2 linked regions of the Tribolium castaneum genome follow. The protein of the gene in region 2 purifies or fractionates together with the protein of the main gene of each other region. This does not show direct contact. Links are inferred from orthologs where the notes say so. Each region holds a gene or a part of one and is shown on either strand. Other genes may lie near its edges.

Region 1 (4,043 bases), on a different chromosome or scaffold from region 2:
AACTTACAAAATTTTAAACTAAATATCTAACACGGTTTTGTATAATTGGTTGCCTGTGTAAATCGCTAGAATTTGTAAAATTTTAAAATGTATATCTGAATTATTTTCATCAGCGTATAAATTTTAATTTTTCGTTTGTGTATTTGATGTTATGTTGATAATTGAACAAAAAAATTATTTTGTGAAAGTTAACAGAGTCGGACCAAGTATGCTAGGAAGGGGTCCCAAGGGCGCTGAATGATAAGAAAACTGTGATATTAAAGACTATATATATAATTCATTAAAGAAAACACACTAATGATAATTGTAACATATTATTAATTAATGTTCCGTAACGTTGTTATTTGAAAAACATTTGTTCATTAGGCTGTTACCTCATTTAAAAAAAAATGAAATTAAAGTTTGGTGCCGCCCTTGACTAAAAAAGACATATCAATTTTTTTTTTTTTTTAGATAATTGTTCAGCATAAAAATGCTCAAGTTGCCATAATTTAAAGATTTCGTATCTTTTACAATAACTGAGCTTCCTATGGTGGAGTTCGAACAACGGACACCCTGTATATACTACTTTGATCCAGTTTGGCACTAAAAGTGCGGCTTATAATATCTTCATAATCGAAAAATTACACTGTTTTCGATCTAATTTAGTGCCTGTTAGTGTTGGGTTTATTTTTTAGAAACTTTGCGACCTAATCACGATTCTAGGTAAAAAACATGCTAATAGTCATTAAATAAGATAACTAATTTTACCTCATTTTGGTAATATTTTGGAAAAAAAATATCTTTACCTCAAAAACGTGCTGAAGCAAGCGTAGTAGTTAAAAGCTTATTTGTTTTTAATATTTTAGCTAAATTTCCTTTTTGTTCCTGTTTGTCCTTGTGCAAAAAAGCCTGATATCCAAATAATAAAATGCATCATCACAACTGTTCGTAAACAAGCATCTCACCCATCCACCGAATTAATTAATTGACTTAATAACAAGCGTCGTAAGCCGGCTTACGATTGGACGCTTGCGGCGCTAAAACCTGTCTTAAGTAAACCCATCCACCATTGCCACATTTCGTCTTTTCCACTCAACCCAGGCTTGGTTTTGAGCAGTTTTGAACCAGCGACTTGACAACACCTCCTCGACCACCTCCGCAATATTCGAATTCCAGAGCGAAAATTTCGTGTTTGCGTCGGTGTTTCGGCCAAGTCCCGCGATGAATTTCGTGCTAGTGCTTAGTTTGGTGCTAGGAGAGGCGCTATGTTGGTCAAAAGCGGGCATCTACATCGACAACGGCCTCAACCAGACCGTCATCGACCGCGAGATGACCACCAGCGAGAAGCAGGAGATGGAGATGGAGATCCTGAACCTGCTGGGCCTCCCCGAGCGCCCCAAGCGGGTCTCCAACTCGCTGAAGCGGTCGGCCCCCAAGTTCCTCCTGGACATCTACAAGTCGCTGATGGAGGAGGAGAACGAGGGCCACTCCAGGAGCGAGCGCAGCGCTGACTTGAACCTCAGTGGAGACGAGCAGAATGCGATCGACGAGAGCGACGTTATTATGACTTTTGAGAGCATAAGTAAAGATTTTGGTCCATTTTTTATTTTTTTTTATTGTATATTTATATTTTATTTAGACCACCACGTGAGCAGCGTGCGGCACGAAAGAGGCAAAAGGCTGTGGTTTAACGTTTCGGAAATGCCGATTGCCGAAAATGTGGTCGGAGCTGAGCTCCGGATTTATCAGAAGGAAATTCATTCGCCTAAAAAGGCCAGAAATGTGTATACTGTTACAGTGTTTGAACTTGTCAACACAGATTCGGGGTACTTTATTTTCTGTACAATTTATTTTACATTTTTATTATTGGGAATTATTACAGTGAGAGAGAACTGGAGTACATTTCTGCAGTAAATACAACAGGTAGTTTCACCGGGTGGTTAAATCTGAATTTAACGGCTTGTTTGCCGACTTGGGTGGCTTTCCCCGATTCCAATAAGGGTCTCTACCTGTCGGTACATCCGGTCGATAAGCCAGGTAGGTAATTATCCCAAATTTTTTCCTAATGGCGTGTCATAAATGTCCATCATCCAAAGATGCAATTATTTTGAAAATACTTTGTAACAAAAATCAATAAACTGTTGCGAATAGTTTTTACCACGTTTTTCATCAATATTTTCTTGAATACAAGGCGAAAATTGTGCACTATGTAAGTTGTTTGTTTTTTAATTTTGCTAAATCACAATACGCGTCGAGAAATGGCAAAAATTAATGTTGTTTTACTATTTATTTCTTTCGATTTAGCTCATCCTTGAGTGAAAGTTGAAAAACCATTTCAAAATATAACAATATTGTGTTTTTCGCGTCTTTATAAGCACATTTTTTGAAAGTTTTGTTGATTAACAGATTGATAAAAATTACCAAATTGCGTCAGAAGTTACAGAATTTTTACTTTTTTGAGCCTTTTAGCACGTTGTCAGCCAGAAATGACGAAATTTTTACAAACAAGCCGAAAAATAAGCAAGTTGGGCCAGAAATGGTGTTGTGTTTTTGATTTTTTGCTGGATTATTTTTTAAAAAAGAAACGAAATTTGTCAAAATTATTCCAAAAATGGTGTTGTTTTTGCTCTTCAAGGGTTTAAGCTCGTTTTTTGAATTAAAAACTTACCACAAAACACGTCTAGAAATGAAAACAATTAGGTAGTCGACACTTAATATGTTATTTTGCCTAATTCACATGAGTGATTTTTTTGAACGTTTTTGAACTAATGTTTTAGTTTTTTTGTGCGATTTCCCTGCTAAATAATCAACAGAGTATTAATTTAAATGTAGAATTGTATTATTTTTACATTTTAGGGTTTTAGTACGGTTTTCAGCAAATATGCAGTGGCATGCAGTGTCCTAGCGAGTAGGTAAAGTCCATTATTTACCTTTAAATGTTGCAAAAGTAATATTTTTTTCTTAAACTGTAGATAATAACCCTCTGTCTCAACTAAAATTACTTTCAAATACACTGGCTGTTTCGGAAATGAACTACAATACAAGGTTTACAAGTTTTTCAATTTTGAATCTAGCTTTTGAAATTGATGATTTTGTCCTAAACTTTTATTGGTTGATTTTGCTCAGTTTTTGAAATGTTTTAATTTTTTTACCAGAAACACGCTGTTTTTAAAAATGTTTAGCTCAAAAACTAAAATTCCTACAAAAAGAGAATTTTAAAGAAGAATGTTCAAACTTAGGAACACAGAAAAATTAAGAAGTTTGTTAAAGGTTGAATAACCTCCAAAAGTTAAATGGAACACCCAATTTTTTGTTTTTCTTTTTCAAACATTAATAAATATTCTGTCTAAAGACATAAAGTTTCAAATGCCTACAGTTACCATTAAAAAATTTATTTCACTTTAAATTTAATTTCAGCAACATTACAAATTATTTTTAGCATTGTCGTTACCATAGTAAAGCTACATCCAAAAATGCAAAAAAATATTGGGTGTTCTGTTTAAAAAAAAACATAAATTTTTATTGCAGCTTATTTCCGAAAGAGCTTGAAAATAATTTTAGTTGGCTTAGGTAAAAAATATTACATTTCTAACATTTAAAGATGAATAATGGACTTTTTGGGACAAATATATAGTTACAAATGTTTGATAACAAACCGAAAAACGACCAAATAAGACCAAAAACGGTATTATTTGTTGCTATAAATTATTTTAAAAATTTTTGCTCTGTAAGCTAGTTTTTGAGTTGAATTCAAACACGTCTAGGAATCACAAAAATGAATCGAAATGAATGTTATTTTGGTTATCTTTCTGCGAAATCTTGTAAAAATCGGTTGATTAACAGGAATCTGAAGTTTTTTTTACCGTCTTTGAGCTTTTTGTCTAAAACTGACAAAAAAACACCAAATAATAAATGAACTGTTTATTTTTGAGCGTTTTCTGGTAGAAACAAAATTAATATTTTATTAGAAAAAAACCGAAAAATCGCCAAGTTGGGCCAAGAATTGTGTTATTTTTGGGTTTTCACTTAGTAAAACCCAAATTTTTGAAATAAAATTTGCC
Region 2 (4,224 bases):
TCGTAAAAAGGCGGTTTATAATCCTCCGCTATCCCATTACTTACTGTCCTTCGGCATAATTCCCACAGGACAAGCCCTAGGGCGTAAATATCAGCTCGACGGAACGAATCGAAATAATCCATTCGTATCCTACAAAGAAATGTCTTGAAATAAACTACAATAAAATGAAACTCTCACGTTTCGTCTAAAACCTCTGGGGCCATGTAACGTTTCGTCCCAACTTTGGGATTGGAACCAATATCTAACTGGTCAGTGGCTTGTTGATGCGTCACCGCAAGCCCAAAATCGGCTATACAACAAGTCCCATTATTTTTTACTAGAATATTTTTACTTTTAATATCGCGGTGGGCGATGGCTGGCTTTCCCTTAAAAAATAATTAAACGTAATTTAGTAGTTACGATCAAGTGTGTGATTTTACTTCAGTCCCAAATATCTCTGTGTGCAGGTGCACCAACCCATTGGCAATCGAAAGACACAAACGCAGTAGCTGTTGATGGGTGAGTGTGGTGCGATTTAGATGGTCGTAAAGACTGCCCAATGGGTGGTAATGGGTGATTAACCATAGCTGAGTGCAGGAATTACGAGACGTCATGTCCGAACCAATGTACCCCAAAATATTCTCGTGCCGTAACAAAATTGTACTGAAATAATAGTGTTTTATTTAAAAAATGGCTAATAAATTTGCGAGGACCAACCTGTATATTTCCGTTTCCCTGTTCCAACTGGCCTCGTCTCGCGAGAAAAATATTTTCACGGCTACATTTTCCCCGAACCAAATGCCTCGCCAGACTTCGCCGTATCGGCCTTTTCCGATGCATTCAGCGAGGGAAATTTGTTTTGCCATTGTTCTCTGGATGAGGAGAGGGAGACCAGAACCGCTCCCCGATGTTAGAGAATTTTCAAGGTATTCGCGCAAGGTGCTGTCGCCGGCAGCTGTCGCTCGCAACAAATCGTCAGAAGCGTAATACGTATCAGGATCCAGACGACTTTCGAGGCATAATCGGCGCTGGTGAATGCGTCGCATTAAGTAAAGAACGATGGCACCTGGGGGGATATTTCTAATCAAAGTGGTGTCTGACTTTGAATTACATTGGTCATATAACTTTTAAATTCAAACCTTCATAAATCAATTTTGTCATTCGTTAGCATTACTACAATTGCGATAAGATAACAACTATTCCGTTTCAGACCTTTCAAGAATAAACTGTCGTTTAATTTTTGAAATCCACTGAAAATAATGTAAAATGCTTTTGCTGAAATTACTGAAGTTTCTATCTAGTTAGTGTCTTAAAAGAACTTAACGCCACCTACTTCCTTGTAAAGACAGGCTAATTTATTTAAAACACACGACATTTTTTAACTATCTAGTCAACTAAGAACAATTCTCTTTAAAAATAAGTTCCGTCAAACAATATAAACTTAAAGAAAATGTGATACCTACCCATTTCTGAGTCTATTCAGAAAAAAATCTTTCAAACTTAAAAAAATTACAAAACTTTACAAAAATACCCGATCAAACAAAAATGCCAAAAAATACTTTTTAAAAATAATTAAAAAAAAGTTTAGTCGAACAAATATAAAATAACTGTCCAAATCTAACGATCTGATATTTTTTTCACGGTAATAAATGTTATCTATTGTCAATAACAGTGTGAATAAAGTTAATGAATAAACATTTGATTTATTCTTTTTGATTTGATTTAACATACAATATGTTTCAAAAAGATTATGCTTAAATGTTGTTTTGTGATAAAAATTCTGAAAAAATCGCATAAATAAAGAAAAAGATTAAGTATTTAATAGTAAACGCTGACTTCTGTGCAACTGCTGAGATAAATAAGAGTTATTAAATATCAAAAAAAAAGATTAACCAAGATAAAATACATAGATAAAATAAATTATTTTTTATTTTATTTACAGTAGTTGGTGTGGTAATTTTAATGCCTTAAAAGGGTAAAACCATCAATTTATTTAGCTGTTTGTGCTCCACTGCCATTTTGCTTAAAAAGGCAGCAATAAATGCACTAAATTTGTCACTGAATGCAGTTTTTTCTACAGGTTTGAATAGAAATCCTTATGCATTTTTTGTTTGTATTATGTGATATTTTGCTCACCCAACGTGCCAATAACCACGACCGGTCCCAGAATCGCGGCCGTCATTTTGAGCGCATAATCAACTGAGTCAGAGTGCATCGTCATGTTCTTGGTAAACAAAATCGGCAATTCGGGGAAATCCCCCTTGTTGCAAAAATCGCCAGTGCAGCAATCGACCTGGAACTGGCCGCTGGCTTGTCGCTTCTGTTGCCCACTAAAGGACGGAGTACGGCATAAGAACGGCAATTGGTCTGTCTCTTTCGTACAGCCCCTAGTCACAGTCTCTAGCCCTAAAAACACGAAAAATAAAATATGTCGCCAATTTCAATTTCACCCCAAAGCCTCGTTACCGGACGTTTCCCGAACGCGCGACTTCCAGCACTGGATGGCGTCGAAACACACAGTCGGGTTGGAGCAATTCGGGGGGTCACACAGGTGGCATTTGTAGCGCTTCACATTGTCGTTTGTTATCTGATTTTGATTGACTTGAAAAGTCTCCAGGTTTTTAGGTAAAGCGCTGTGCTCATTGCCGAGTTCGTCGTCCTCATCCTCGGCGTCTTCCTTCAGCTCAGGCCTTTGGATCACTTCACCTACGGCCAATCAAACATGGGGCACGAACTCCACACACGGGGGGATCAAAAATCCCAATAAATCAAACCGAACGAATGTAGATTTTTAGGGAATGTGGATACACAACTCACCTGTGCAGATTTGTATCAATAATATTATTAATAAACAATTTATGGTACTTGTGGCGGCCATATTACGCCGTATAAATAACAACACAAGTCGGGATTTTTGTTTTGTTTTGGTGGCAGTCGCAGTAACGCGAGCTCGAAATGGGCCGTTTATTGTTATTTATTTATTACAAAAAGTGTTAACAAGTAATTCGGTACGTTATTAGCATTATTAGGGCCTTGTGTAATTTATTTCCACAACTGGGGGCACGTAAGCATTAATGAGGGCCGGAACGTTTTCGGCGTTACGTGCTTTAGGAAACAAGGAGGAAGGCGGGAGATTGAAACACTCAAGGTGCGTTCATAATATACTCTATTCTGCAATAATATTTACATTCTAACACGTTTTTGTCAGAAAATATGTTACACATGTTTCCACATTATATTAAAAATATATGGCTTAGAACTATGGAATGCATACACAGACTTTTTCTTATCGAAAGTTGTGAAAAACCTATGAGATCGTGAAATGCTAGTTGAACGAGTTACAATACTACTAATTAATTGTAGAACATATTGTCTAGTTACTGTTTTGAACGTATTACGTGCGTTTAATACACTTCCTTAACTCCGCATATTTACAATGAATTAATAAAAATAAAAAAGATCACAAAGTAAAAATCTTATCATCACATAAATTGTAAGCACCATAGTAGGTATAAAAACAGCAAGAAAAAATCAACTAAACCTACGCTTCATGTTCATTACTGTTAATACCAATCAAGGCTTCGGTTTGTTCCGACGGCATTTCAGCAAACCTGAAACTTCACAATTGCCCCAATAAACAAACCCACAATTGTTTGAATCCTAATTACCGCATAAATCTGGTTCGTCGGCAAATACTTAGATAGGCACAGCGTATAACGTCGAGTACAGGGTCCCAATTGTCGTAATGCGAAAGTAAAGTGACGGCAAAAAACGCCACCACCATAGGAATACTCCCTGTGTAAAACAGAGACGGATAGACGATCTTCTTCAAAAAAACATCCATCAACATGGTCATCGGAATAGTCAAACTCATTGACATGGTCGCCATCAGCGAGGACGTCAAAAAACAACCCCTAAACATTTCTTACAAAACTTTACCACCTTGTGAAAAGACTCACCATAACCATAAAGCCTCCGAGATAACGGTCCCTAAGACCCCATTCAGAAGCAACAACAGCACTTGTTGCCTCGACGGCCATTCGAAAACTTCCAGTCCGCTAAAGTGCAAAAAGAAGAAACATGGCCACAGGAGAATCAAATTGAAAAATCCCACGAAACCTGCGACAGACTCGTTTATTTTTTGAGTGCGAGAAGGAGGAAAGAAGTACCGAAAAACAAAGGAATGTCGATTTTGTCCTCATGATCCACTTTGCGCTTGAGGAAAACTAAATAAGTGGCGTAGAA

The links.
Region 1: the proteins of sax (region 2) and Gbb purify together in Drosophila melanogaster (affinity purification with western blotting, with the first as the bait; 3 studies listed by BioGRID). This does not show direct contact. The link is inferred for Tribolium castaneum from reciprocal best matches to the Drosophila melanogaster genes sax and gbb.

The regions. Positions count from the first base shown.
Region 1 is NC_087398.1:11,155,286-11,159,328, reverse strand, and holds the start of Gbb (glass bottom boat protein precursor), read left to right. Parts: upstream 1-1,203; coding exon 1,204-1,564; intron 1,565-1,621; coding exon 1,622-1,808; intron 1,809-1,864; coding exon 1,865-2,019; intron 2,020-4,043. UniProt on the Drosophila melanogaster protein: Required for the growth of imaginal tissues and for patterning of the adult wing.
Region 2 is NC_087396.1:20,720,022-20,724,245, reverse strand, and holds the start of sax (saxophone precursor), read right to left. Parts: upstream 2,864-4,224; 5' UTR 2,858-2,863; coding exon 2,797-2,857; intron 2,686-2,796; coding exon 2,446-2,685; intron 2,386-2,445; coding exon 2,116-2,385; intron 1,046-2,115; coding exon 697-1,045; intron 643-696; coding exon 420-642; intron 366-419; coding exon 178-365; intron 130-177; coding exon 1-129. Other genes in the region: Slc35f5 (solute carrier family 35, member F5), read right to left, coding at 3,521-3,596, 3,648-3,893, 3,939-4,098, 4,149-4,224.